Alligator mississippiensis: one gene and its partner. The protein of the gene in region 1 interacts with the protein of each later gene in a pairwise test. Links are inferred from orthologs where the notes say so. Each region holds a gene or a part of one and is shown in the gene's direction. Other genes may lie near its edges.

What was found. The genes of interacting proteins can lie anywhere in the genome.
Region 2: the proteins of RAD54B (region 1) and TCEANC interact in a two-hybrid assay, tested with the Homo sapiens proteins (2 studies listed by BioGRID). The two-hybrid records come from large-scale screens. The link is inferred for Alligator mississippiensis from reciprocal best matches to the Homo sapiens genes RAD54B and TCEANC.

Annotation. Positions count from the first base shown.
Region 1 is NC_081826.1:43,510,650-43,517,610, forward strand, and holds the start of RAD54B (DNA repair and recombination protein RAD54B), read left to right. Parts: upstream 1-4,020; 5' UTR 4,021-4,031; intron 4,032-4,061; exon of another isoform or gene 4,062-4,275; intron 4,276-6,961. Other genes in the region: RING finger protein 151, read right to left, coding at 3,832-4,020. UniProt on the Homo sapiens protein: Involved in DNA repair and mitotic recombination. May play an active role in recombination processes in concert with other members of the RAD52 epistasis group.
Region 2 is NC_081824.1:324,616,341-324,623,647, reverse strand, and holds the start of TCEANC (transcription elongation factor A N-terminal and central domain-containing protein), read left to right. Parts: upstream 1-4,290; 5' UTR 4,291-4,377; intron 4,378-7,307.

The DNA of each region.
Region 1 (6,961 bases):
ATTCCTGAGCTGGAAAAAATATACCTTGGTGCTGTACCTGGTTAACTGGCTCCATTTCTCAGCAGTGCTTGGGTACAGCACTACATGAATGTGGCTGATGGCTTCTGGCTTGCAATCTAGTGCCCACTAAGCTAGCTTGGGTACTGCTACACAGTGCTGCCTATGCAGACCAGTGATTCTCAACCAGGGTTCCCTGGCACCCTAGGTTGTCTTGACATCTTTTCATGGGGTGTCATACCATATTTGCTGTTACATGTGCAGACATGATTCACAAGATAAACCTAGCAATTTCAAATAGGAATGTTCACCTGCTGTGTTCTCTCTGAGTTCTTTGCAACAAAAAAGTTGCTCTGTTATCTTTCTATAGTGAAGAGTAAGTGAAAACTAAGCTGGAATTGTCTGAGGGGTGCCTTGAGTCTAATGAGGTTGAGAACTGCTCATGTAGACCTATGCTGTGAGTTTTGAGCCAAGCTCACAAACTCCTCTCTGTTGTGGTGCCCCAAAAAACATGAAAAATGGGTAGAGAACTGGTGCAATCTGATGGCTCCTTATGCTGACTAACTGCAGCTCAGTTTCTTTAGAGAACTCCAGCTGTGCTTGTATGCATCTCCGCACAGGCTGAAGAGAGCCAGTCCTCTGCGATGTCGGGTATTTCCTGCTATGCAGAGCAGACCACATACCTGAAGGGTAGCCAGGAGTCTACGTTTTACAGCACACATGTTCAAACCTTGGCCCACAGGGCAGATCTGGGCCCCAGTGCAATGTCATTTGTCCTGCAGAGCTCTCCACAGGTGTGTGGGTAGCCCCAAGGCTGTAACCTTGCATGCTAGACTGGACACAAGGGGCTGGGTGGGGCTCTGAGGCCTGATTCCAGCTTATAAAACGGGGCTGAAACAGCACAAGGCTCCAAGACCCAATTCTGGCACAGAAAGACAGGAATGATGGTTTAAGGCTTGCATTGGCAGCCAACACCTGTGGGCCACATCTGCCCCACAAGTTTTCTCAGTTTTCAGAGGCGTACTTTTCAGCAGAAGCTGCATTACAGGAGCAAGAAAGCAGTTCTTTGCAGATCTGGGACAGTGGCAGATTGGTGGCCTGCAGTGGTGGCCATGTTGTAAGTGCAGGCCCAGCACTAGTAAAAAGCGGCCAACTCTTAAGCAATTAGCTTATGCCACCTATTCCAGAATGGCAGTAGACAGAGACACCTTGTCTGGGGCATTTTATGTACCTATTTGACCCACATGGCCTAAATGTTTGATGCAGCGGTTGCTGGCTCCAGCTTGGAGATTCAGTTTTTGGGAGCCCCTTTTGTAGCCATGAATCTGTAAGCAGAACACAGTACATTTGGGCTGGTTTGGAGTTTCAGTGTTATCAGTTTCCTGGGGTTGCTATGCCATTTCCTATGTGCTTTGCTGATTTACAAATACTGCTCACTTGACAGTTCATGCCTGGAACATCTTTAACCATACGGGACCTGTGCTCTGTGTACACTTTAGCTTAGGACAGGGATGGACAATTATCTGGGCTGGAGGGGCACTTAGGGAGTTTTGGTGAGCTCAGCATCTCCCCCTCCCAAAAGCTCACCAAAACTCCCTAAGTGGCCCTGATACAATTCTCCTTCAGAGGAGCAGCCGTGGGATTAATAGTATTATTTGGCAGGCCAGAACCCAGCCTGCAGGCTGTATTTTGCTTACCCCTAGCTAGGAGATTTAGGCAGCACGTGCACAGGGGCTGCTTGCTTCACATGTTTCAGCTACTTTGAGGGTCCAGATTTCTTTACCTTCTTGGCTTATTTGGCTAGTTTGAAAGCTGAAATACCATGGCATGAATAATCAAGCTGTTTTTAATTGGGAAGCACAACCTTTATTTTTCCATTAAATATGAACAGAAAGCGCAAAAATTAAATGTAGGGAGGGGAAAACCTGGAGGTAACTATGCCTTTAAACACCTTGGGCAATAAACAAGTTATCAGTGCAACTTGGGAGGGAGCAGGAGGAGGAACATCTGACTTTAAAAAAGTGCAAAAAGAGAGCAAACAGCGGGCAAAGATCAGGCTGCATGTGAAGGGCACTTGGAGAAATGCTTAAAAGAACTTTAAAGTCTGTGGGTAGGGGAGGCCACAGAAATGGTCTGATACTTTGAGGGGTCAAATCACACTGTCCTCTTGCCTACAGTTTAGCTTTGGCTGGGAGCCCTGTGATGAGGGAGGCATTCTCAAAGGCATGGTCAACTGGAGTTGACAGATCTCAGATGCTGCAGACTAGTAAGGAAGGCCAGGGAGCAGGCAGAGGCTGAGTAGTGTGTAGGGACCAACCTGTTTAGTCCCCTAGACCAGTGGTTCTCAATGTTTTTGTACCAGGATGCATTTGTAAACACCAGCCTGCAAGGGAAAGCCCACAGTTCCCCATGTTTTCCTCCTTTAAAGGAGAATCCATTTTTAAAGTTTGTTGGTGATCCTTTCATACATTCTTGCGACCCACTTTTGGGTTGCAACCCATGGGTTGAGAAATGCTGCCTTAGACTATCTGCTGAAGAATACGCCTTCCATTAGTACATGCTTTACTTGCGTTTCAACTTCCAACATTTTCCCTGGAAAGCATTAAATGTGCCTTGGCTACAACTTCCTCTTGACTCAAAGCTTTCACTCTGCTGCAATCTTCTCTGCAAATGTCATGCTTCTTGAAGTTCACCCCCATTATCAATCATCTACCCACAATTTAAGGCCTATAAGCTCCCTGAAAATTTGTTTTCTGTAAGCCCTCAAGATCAGCAGTAACTGAATCATTGCCAACACCAGTATCCCTGACAGTCTGGAAGCTGCAGGTGCCAACCCTAAATGCCAAAAACAGTAACAAGCGCTTACTGACCACTGCTCCATTTCTGTGGTCTCAGAAAAATTATCTTCTCCTCTGCTTTTAGGAAAACCATCTCCAGAGTTCTTCCCAATTTGGGAATACCCTGGAGATGCTAAATCCTTTCTAAGCTTTCCTCCTGCCTTGTTTGCCATGCAGGTATGTTTGTTCTTTCAGTCAACATAGCCCTATAGACTGTAAGCCTGTGCTGACGGAGGAAGGAGATAGTTGCTACTTTTCTATGTATGGCTTGTGCTGGTACGGCTTAGGTAAAGAGCACATTCTATATTTCTTATTCAATTGTCTCTCGTCTTTGCTGTATGCACTGCCAACGCTCTCCTGCAGCTATTGCTGGTGTTAACCAGGCTCGGGAGTGGACAGCAATAACCAGCAACTCCTGGCTACTGAGAACCTTCTCATGCAGAAGTTCTGCTGAGTGCAAGGTCCCCAGCTCCTCCTGAACTCTCTCACCAAGGGTGGCTTGACGCTAAGAGCCGCTGTCTCAGCAGCGCAGGCAGCCAGCTCTGAGCCCAGGTGGCAGCTGTGGAGTCTGCCTTTCTCCTAGGCCAGCGCAAGGTCCCAGGCTTTTCTGTCTCGTGCTGCTGGCCTATCATGCTGGCATTCCCTCACCCTCTTCTCTGCCTGCATTGGAGTGACCAACCTGCAGTATGTGTGTCACAAGTGGCATGGGCAGCCCCTAAGAGTGGCAGACAGGGAGGGGACGGGCAGGCAGCGGAGAGCAGAGCAGCAGATCGGGAAGCAGAGCAGAGGGCACCCCAGGGAGCTGAAAGCCGAGCAGCAGTTCGGGTGGGGAGCACAGGGCAGGGAGCAGACAGCAGAGAGGCAGATTGGGGGAGGGAGCACAAGGCAGGGACAGCTAGCGGAGCAGCAGATCAACCCAGGGAAGGGGGGGTCCGCATTGTTGCTCTGCCCGGGCCCGGGTGGCGCCGGCCCATCGCGCCTCGCGCCCCGCACCCACCTGGCGCAGCCGCCGCCCCGGCCCGGAGCCGCTTGCAGTGAAGACGGTATCCAGCTCGATATTCCGGCACCGCCGCAAAAGAGAGGGGCCAGGGCCCTTTACGGCTGGTATTGCTTGACGGCAGAACGCAGCACTAGCGACAGCCCAGCCAAGCCGCCATGCTAGAAGTGGCCGAAACAGCAGGCGCATGCGCAATACAGGTTTACAAGCCCCTGACAAAACTCTGCCATTCTAGAGCGAGAGCAGAAGTGCGAGAGGAAGTCCACGGGGGCGAGCACTGAAGACAGCTTCGCCCCCTTGAAGCGGCGTGGGGAGAGGGTTAGCGCATGCGCAGAGGAATCACTTGTAGCGCTGGCGGGATCCTTGAGCTGCGTTGGCGGCGGGTGCGCATGCGCCTTGGGTCGAGTGGCTGACGGGAGCCGGCAGGCGCGGCGGGACGGTTGAGTGCGCGCTTGGCGTCTCGGGGCGAGGGCGCGTGTGGCGGGGGCGCGGGCGCGGGCGCGGGGGCCGCCGCGAGCGGGCCGTGTAGGGAGCACCCCGGGGCGGGGAGCCGCGTGCTGGCGGCGGTGTTGCCAGTGTACGATAATGATCCTGTTTGTACGATCATTTCAACCCCTTTACCATGGACGGTCAGCGATGGTAAAAGTGTTTGGTTTGCTCTTGTGGCTCCTGGCCCGGCCGCAGCCGAGCCCAGATAGTGCCTGTGCAGCCAGCTGCAGTAGGAGCAATGCAGCTGGCTTGGACAAGGCGAGGAAGAACCATGCTGCTTCCCAGGTCGCTGGGCTTAGGAAGCAGGCTCTGGGGGGGGCGGGCCTGGGGACTGTGGAGCCGTCTTCCCCCGAGCTCAGCTGATGAGTACCCAATAGCCCCCTCTAAGAGCAAGGGGGGCTAACTGTTGCTCTGCGGGTGTAAGGCCTGTGATCCTCTTATGAGTCCGATACGCCAGTCTGAGGAACTGGCAAGAAGCAGCTTTGTACACTGGTGCTGCGTGCTTTTCTGACCAGTCCACATTTATTGTCAGTTAAGGACTGTGGTTCCTCATTGGAAATTCGTCCCTTAATTTGAATTTGGCCCTTAATTTCATGGTGTGCTTAATTTCAATCCTGGACAATCCTAATTCCGGGGTGTCTGTGCTAGATGGGCTCCATGCACTGCATGCAGCTCATGGGTCTAAAGCTAGTACATGCTGCATGCAGTGCGGATTGGAGACCATCAAGCCCACAGGGCTGCCTGTGTGTCGGACTCTACAGGTCAGATCTGGCCCATTGGCTGTGTCTTTCGTAGAATCATAGAAGTAGGGTCGGAAGGGACCTTGTAGATCTTCAAGTCCGACCCCCTGCCTGGGCAGGAAGAAAAGTGGGTTCAAGTGACCCCAGCCAGGTAGGCATCAAGCCTCTTCTTAAAGACCCCCAGGGTAGGAGCCAGCACCACTTCCCTTGGAAGTTGGTTCCAGATCCTAGCCGCCCTGACTGTGAAGTAGTTCCTATGAATGTCTAATCTAAACCTACTCTCCAACAACTGGTGGCCATTATTCCTTGTTATCCTGGGGGGCACTAGGGGAAACAAGGTCTCCCCCAAACCCTTCTGGTCCCTCCTAGTAAGTTTATAGATGGTCACCAGCTCCCCCTCTCAGCCTTCTCTTGCTGAAATAAATTGAGACTTACACTTATTTGCCCACACCCAGACTTGAACTGCCAGCCTTTTCATTAGCAGCTCACAACTCAGGCCCTCCAGCCACAGAAGAGGCCTTTTTTGACAGCCTTGTCCTAACTTATTGTGGTAGCAAAGCGAAGCCTGGGAGGAAAGTTAACTTTTTGGGCCTTTCATTGGAATGGAAGTTTTGGGATCTCTCTTTCACAACTAATGTGCATGTCGTCTATAAGGCAAACTTTCCAGATTGACTTTTGCAATTTCACCAGAAAGCTGAGAGGTGGGACTTACTGCCACCCAGGTGTGTGGGTCAGGTTTGGGTCATTGCAATTCAAATGGCATTTATGCCTATTTTGGATGTTGCCTATTATTGGGCTACAACAGGACTTTCCAGCTGGTGACCTGTGGGCTTCATGCAGTCCATGGGGGGTTACATTGTGGCCCTGGGCTACCACCTGGCCACCACTTTTCCCATTGCTTCAGCTACAGAAGCAGCCAGGGACTCTGGGCTCCTTTTCCCCTCCAGCTTCTCCTTCCTGCAGCATGGTACAGCCTGCATTGCTGAAAGAGCCTTAAGGTGAAATGCAGCAGGGGAGACTGTGGCTGGGGAGCTGAAGATGAGTGAGGGCACTTGGGCACTGGTGTTGTTGTGGGTGGGGGGGGAGTTAGGGAGCAGTGTGTGGTGCAGTGTGGTGTTGCTCAGTTCAGTGAGGTGAAAAGGCTTATCGTTCAGTAGTGAGGGGGGATGGGGGGTACCTGGACACATGGTGCAGTGGGGGGGAAGTGGTGTGTGATGTAGTGGAGGGAGGCACATGCAGTGGAGTGATGCAGCAGCAGAGGGCTGCTTAGGCATGCACTGTAGTGGGGGAGGGAGGAGGCACTGTGCAGTGATGGGGAGGGACATGAAGTGCAATGGTGGGGAGGGCGTGCATGGTGGTACTGATATATGGTACCGCTGGGGGGGTGGGAAAAGCGCGGTACCACTAAAGCAGTGGTCTCCAACCTTTTTAAGTACCAGATCCCTTTGTGAATTAAAGTGCAACCTAGGATCTATCGCACCTCTCCCCCCTGCAAGTGGGGGGGAGCAAATCGAGGCCCCTGCAATGAGGGAGGGAGGGGGGTAGGGGCAGGTGCTGGGGTGAGTGTGGTCCTGCCTGGGCTGGGTGGTGGGACAATTGGAGCCCAGGAGGCTTATCCAGGTGTGGGGTGGGGAGGCTCCAGCCACTACATGCATCCCGGTGGACACCTGGGGGATACGTGCCCTCCCCGATCTGTATGCAGGGTGGAGGCAGCTGCTGTTGCACACTGGACTTTGCACTCCAAGCCCCACTGCAGCTATTCTGGGAGTGGCACAAGGCCACATGTGTCTCGCCACTGGGCTGAGGCTTGCCCCCTGCCCACCCAATGGCAGGACATGGAGCCTCTGACAGTTGCACTCAGTCCCGCCAGACTGAGATCATGCATGTGCTCAGCCTCCCCA
Region 2 (7,307 bases), on another chromosome or scaffold:
GGCTGCTGCTGCCAGTTTCTCTGCTGCCACCACCACCAGACCTGGCCCTGCTGTCTGAGCACCCCTGCCCATCCACCCTGGCAGTCCATGAAAGGGCATGTTCAGCCGGGTGGATGGGATGGGGCCAAGGTCAAGCAGGGACCAGCATCTGAGAGTGGTTCAGATGAGGTGTTCAAGAATAAGAGCTCAATGAAATTTATCTTTTAAGAAGCAGAATTGCAAGAGAAGTAATTTCCTTACCTATAATTAAATAATATGGAAGTTGGTACATGTCTATTGCTATTCTCATTCTCATATCCTCTCAAATATATCCATGCCTAATGCTGCCATCAAAGCTCTGAACATGAGAAAAATAGTAATTTGAGGATTAAACATATTAATCCTTAAATATAATTTCAACAGAGATCTCATCAATAAAGGCCTTTCATGGAAACAAATATTCCTCCATCTTCCTACTCACACATTTTTCAGACAGAAGCAAATGTGACATTTCAGTTACCCAGCAGTTTATTCTGGATGATCTACTAGGTTTCTGTATAACAGTAATTTCATGTGTGACCATAAATAATGCAGCTGAACATTTTTTTCTGTGTACCTGTTTAGCCTAGCAACTTCATGTATGCACAAAATAAATAGAAAAGGCTGATCTCACTTCCTTGGATGAATTATCCTGAATAGCTTTTCGAATATTTACTATAACTATCATACTTAGTTTCCAAAATGGACAGAATCACAACCTATTTTAAGGTTTTATATTGGTGCTTACCTCTGGTATATCTATCTCCACTGTATAAAATCAGTATCAATAGTGAAGTCTTTGACAGTTCTCCGTTTTGGGGAAGGGGCTTGGAGTTTGATTTTTAGATTTTATTAATTCTTTTTTTCTCTCCTTTTGGTTGTTAGTTTGTTAGACGGTATGTCCCTACTGTCACTTTCACTCTTAAGGTAGAAAGGTCTTTTCAAAGGGAAATACTTTGCGGTGATTTTAATGAGACCATATTTACCCATTTGTCTCTGGAAGTGTTTCCTGTAGCTGAGTTGGTTCTATCTAAAAATAATACTGTGTCCCCAGCTTTCACCTGCTTTTGTGCTTTTCATTCCTCCAAGAGGATTAGGGCAATCATTGTGGCTTATAGAATAGACTTTGGACTTTAATGTATCTGAGACTTAATTTGTTAAAAACTTTTTTGTAAATTAGGACCAAGGCAGCCTAAGCTTCTTTACCAAACTTAAAGAAGGGCACTTTGTTCTCAAAGGCTCATCTAACATCTCTCTCAACTATACAGTTGGTCTAATAAAAGATATGAGCAATAAAACCTTGCTTCTCATATATTTCCTGGACCATCACAGCCACAACAAGACAGATGTGAATCTTTGCCTCAGTTAGCTCAGTGATGTTGACAACAAAATCTCTGAAATGCTATGAAATAATTGGAAAGTACAAGAATGTGAGGTGAAACCCAAGGAACAGTCCAAGCATCTGGTATTAATGTTAATGCGGTTTTTGGAGACATTGGTATGAATTGAAATTGTGAACAGTCTCTACTGTTGAGTGGTGGTGGTGATTAGCCTAAGGAAATACCATTTTGCTGATATCTCCGGTATCCCCTTCTTGACTGAAGGAGAGGATACTGGATGCAGGATAAGTTTCTGGGTGCAAGATCTGCCTGTGAGAATGTCATTGGTTCTATGTGTAAAATGCAATATTTTCATATTCAGCAGAATATTTCATTATAGCACTGCTACCTTTATCTTGTTATTTTACATGAAGTAGCACCCAAAATGGCTATGTTTTTTCATACACAGAGAATGAATGGCATAGTTATTGTTCCCAAGAACATGGGGTATCCTCAATATACCTTACTACCAGGGCTGCCCAAACAACAGAAAAATTAATATCCACTGAATATATTATTCAGTGATTTTAACCAGCATTTGATGAATAACATCTGCAAACAGTATTTGACTAGCCTTTGAATTTTTGAAATTCCCCAAAAGCTATTTGATAGATGGTTGTGACTGGATGAGTTGCCTGTCTTCCCTTCCGTTCATATCCCAACACCTCAGACCTTCTGGAAGACATCTCAACCTGTTATTTGTGAGACCAACTTTGGACAAGTAAGGTCTCTAATAAATTAGACATAAAAAGCTTCTGGAATACAGGAAATGTTCATCCTTTGCTTTTTCTTTCCCTTGCCAGCTGCATTAAGGCTAGTTAGGGAAGTCAATGCAGTGTGCATTTTTAACAAGAGTTCATGGGTTTACGATACTACAGCTCCCTCTGGTGATAACAAAATCCAGTTCTGTATTTTAAAATCTCAGACAGAGTTCTCTAAAGCAGGGATTGACAAACTTTTGCCACAGTGGGCCCTCTTCTTGGGTCCTGATTAGATTTGTCAGAAAATATACCCCAAATTGACTGAACTAGCAATAACTCCTCCTTTGTCACTACAAATATATTAAGAGGGGAGATTTTTGCAGTGGCTGGCAGGGATCATGCTGCAGCATAGCTGCTCTGGGAGCAGCATAGATCCTTGGGCAATTACCAAGCACCCTTGTCTTTGTGGGTGTCCCAGTATTTCAAGTTCAGAGGCAGAATTAAAGACATGTTCTTTTCAAAAACAGCCCCATTTCCTTCCCATTCAAATAAACTTTTAACTGCTTTTCTGGAGGAATTCTCCAGTAGAAAATTACGTGGTCCTTCAGGCACTTCATACTTCAGTGAACACATGACTCACCATTTGCTAACATATGAGCCATGACAGAATTTGACATACTTATTCTTCTTTGTCAAAGGAAGCATTTGAACTCCAGAGTCATGGCACAATTTAGAAGGCAGTAATTATGCTAATACCAGTCATGTTTTGTTTTTTGTTTTTTTTAATATTGCCTCTTACTTTAATAAAACATTGATGCAACAATTGGGGTGAGCTTTATCTTTTATACATTACTTTCATCCTAAAGTATCTTAGGACCTTTCACAAACTAAGTATATTTAGCAAAACTGAAATGGAGCCATCTCAGATACGGAGGGCTGTCTGTCCTTCTTGATCTTCTGTTTGTGTTAGGATTGCTCTAGGGTAAGTAGCATTTGATCCTGGTACATGTCTGGTATTACATGATGGTGCAGTTTTGAGTAGGGGGGCAGGTTTAGATGATAGCCATCCTTGTAAGCTGGTTATCCTGATCTCCAGAGAGCTTGGAGGGAGAATACTGTTCCCTTACCATGCACCTCTGTTGCTTTATCTTGATCTTTTGTCCTCAGTTATGAAATAGTCTCTATATTTCTTCTTCTGTCCTTGTTCTTGCTAGGTGGAAAAACTTGGTTTACCAGTAACCTGTGGCAACCAAAGTGAGAAGGGATGTTGACATTCACTCCATTCTCTTGCTCTAAAACTTTTGTGACATTCAGGACATGATACGAGGCCCATTTGTCTTTTTTGAGTGGAAGGAACATAATAAAGGCTAGTCATTTGCCTGTGGCAGAGTATTTGGGGTAATTGTTGACTACCTCTGATTTCCTGATTTTGGGAAAAGCTTTTGTCCTTTTCTTTGCATTTAAAAATAATGTTGTCATAGGTCCCTCATGATATTTACCTTCTTGCTGCTGTAATTTAAATAAACTAACACTTCAATTCTGAACACTATTTTAAACTTTACTTCATTGAACACAGTGTCCAGCCAAGTAGATTAATGGCAGTATATGTTAAATGTCTAGAAGTAGTGGGCATTTAACAGATGCTTCAATTAATTTACTTGGTAAACCTGATACACTAGAACAATAGGAAAATAGCGATTAGATATCCCCCAAATGTGTTTCCTTTGTATGTGGGGATGGCTGTGTTCACTTACAACATTTTCGTTTTTACTTACAGTACTAGATGTGACCTGAAGACGCTGATTGCCCATGTCATTTATAAAAAGTTGCTGTTTTAATTTGAAGGTTATTTTAATGGAGTGTATTTTATTAACTTGATTAAGTTCCAAGATAAATCATTTGCTGATAATGATAGAGAAACTTTAGACATTCCCTTTGCCTTGCTAACTGTTGTTTTCCTATGAGAACTTACTTCTATCTTCATAATGAAGAGATATTTTGATTAAATGGCATCCTCTTGTGAGGGTTTCTTTTATTTCACTTGGTAATAAATATCCCACTTGAATAAATGCATTTATTCTTCTGGGATCACATCAGCTGGGCTCTAGTTAATTTTTGTACATGTTTGTAAAATTCTGCTTTAACTTCTCTGTTTCTTCTGTTTAGCTTTGCTACATAGATTCTTTGGCAGCAGATGAGTTCTTTTTTACTGTTAATTAAATTCATATATCATCCTATGAAGAAAAGCTTCCAGAAAACATGCCTGTTTTGCTTTATGTGTAAGTAGCCTATCATTTAAACTCTTTAAGATTATAAGAAATCCTCATGTAGTTGTTCAAGACATTATATGTTACTTGTAATCCATGATCTGTTTTTATCTTTGGCTATTGCTATGATTTGTAAATTCTTAGACAGGCTTAATCTTGTAAATCCTGGATGAGTTTAGTTTTTTAGTCCTGCAAAAGTCATTGTGCACCTGGAAGATTCCAAAAACCTGTAAGTGTTTTTAAGTACTGCCTGGGTGCATGTACATATTAAAAGCACGAATATAGGATTTGTGCATTTTATAGCACGGAGCAGCATACTGCAGCCTGTATTTGCAGTTCTTGTAAAAAGGTTGGAAATGCTTATGTTTGGAAACGGAGGTGAGGATATTAGTGGGATCCTTGATGATCCTAAAGTACAGGACAAGGCATATTGAATTGGTAATGTAGCTAATGCCACATGTCCCGTGACCAGCAGTAAAGGTCACCAACTCTATCTGCTCTTCCAGCACCAACTGTTTGATCTATGGAAAACAGGAAACTCATCAAGTGTGATACTGGGCTCATTATGTTAACAAACAAAGATTCCTACTGTCTCAGACTGCATGCACTTCCAAACCAAACATGAGACTTATATGTGCAGTTCAACTAATGTAACTGAAAAATATATCTGGTCTTTTCTTCTGGAGGTTTTCAGAAGTATGCTTGAGAGTCCTTTCAGTTGTGGCTATACACATCAAAATCACAATTCATTTTAATCTAACATCGTGGGGGGCAGATTAGGTTGCTAGTAGAGGACATCTGTCAGTTTAGGAAGAAGACTGAGCTGTGGTTCACACTTATGAAAACAAAACCTAATAAATAATGTCTTGTTACATCCTGTAAGTTGTGGAGTTTGCAGGCTCAAAAGACAACATTGCATTGGTTTACAATAGTGGTTCCCAAACACTGACAGATTGTGTACCACCAGTTTAAATAGATACAACCTAAGTACTACCAGCAAATTTTTCAGTTCAACCTTTTGTTGCAAATTTTTGTCATATAAAGAAATTATAACAAATCTGCTAACGGGTACCACTGACAGGTTGTCTGAGTACCAGTGGTTATATGCATACCACATATTGGGAACTGCTAGTTTACATAATTTCACATTTAAAAGGTTCACATTTAGTTCACTTGCAGAAAATTATCTTTGTAACTCTACAAGTTGAAAAGTTCCATCAAGCGTATTGATGGGTTCCGTCTACAAAAATAGTTGAGCTTCTTGCTTTAGTTTTTCCCGGTGAACAGTTGTGTAGATTGTTAATAATTTGTATATTCACTTCAATCTACATTTTCCCTGGTGCTGTCTGCTTCAAGACTGTCTTTAACTCCCTCCACTTTATGAATGTGTACTCTGTGTGCCTACAGAGTTTTCTTTCATTCTGAAAAATGTCATGAGTTAGATCACAAGAGCCTTCACAGTAGATTTGTTCTGTCCAGCTGATCTTCAAAGTGAGTGTTTTTCAAAGTGAAAAACTAGAATGTATGCTCCAGGAGAAGTTCAGGCAATGTAGGCTGTTTTGGGAATATTTATGATGGTTAAAAGGGAGACTTGAACCAAAGGGAATGGCACTTGGGGGGAAAGATAAGAAAATCTGACCATCCCTCTTTCTTGTAGTTCTTGATGGTCATGTTTTCCATGTCTTTCTTTCCTCACATTTCCTCTAACCATTTGTCATCTCTGAGAGTCCTTCAGATGTCTCTCTTTGATTTCTCCCTCACTCTGTCTTCCCCAATCATTTTTTTCTCTCATTTTCAGCCCTTTCCCCGCTCCCAGCCTTTGAAAACAGCCTTTGAGAGCATGGAGGCTGATCAGGAGCATAAATCAGACTAGGAAGTGTGGTTTCTGCCTGCATAGGGCTGCAGAGTATGTGAATTCTATCAGAGGCATAATGAGCATGGCTTACGCCCTGGGTAAACCCTCCAAGAGAGCACATGGGAGTGGGGAACAGCGTGACCCTGGCTGTTGCTCTTACAGCAGCAGCATGGTGTCCACACACCCAGCTGCTGTTGCAAGAGTGATGTTGTACATGGGGCTGCTTCTCCTGCTGAGACTCCAAAGGGGTGGGGGTGATACTGGCACCCCTACTAATCTGTCACTCAGGGATGGTATCCCACTTGGTGTGCTGTACCTAGACTCCTGGAGGCCCCAGGCGAACTTTTAGTATTGGGCACCCCTTTGCCAGAAATAAGGGGTTTTTTTTGTTGCAAAAGTCTTTGATTTTCAGGCCCCCTTTCTGTCCAGGCCCCAGGCGGCCTCCCGGCTTGCCCATGCCTATGTCCAGCCCTGCCTACTTGCCCATCCCAAGTTGTGTTGCTGAATTCTATCAGTTCACCATTGACAGTGCTACAGCGAGAGACTTTGATTGAGGATGGAAGTATGTAACAGACCTAAGTTTCTTAAGGACTCATTGAAGTTACTGTCAGTCTCAGGTTTTTTCGGCTGGCCAGCATGAGAAGAGATACGTGGATAAAACACTACTTTTGGTACAATTGATCCCTGCAACTGTCTTTCTTTCACTAAACTTACAAGGGCAGGTGTGCACTTTAGACTATATTTCATCAAGTTTAAACTTATGATCAACATCAAAGCAGAGAAAATGTTAGTATTGCTAGTCTGCTGTACAGTTTTTCTAAGGACTCTGAATTTTGTCAGAAGATAATGAGAACCCCCCCCCCAGTCAAATCACATGACTGCATTCTTAATGCCCTTTATTTTTCATTTTGTTGCAAATAAGACCTCATGCAAGTTTGTCCTGTGAAAGCATTATGTCTGCAGCTTAATATGTAGCTAAGGTATTTTACAGAAAATACAAGGAAAGTCCTTTGTCTTAAAGAGCTTGCAAAAAGAACAGTCAGCAGTTATTAATATGTGAGTTACTATTCTGGAACCTATTATAACT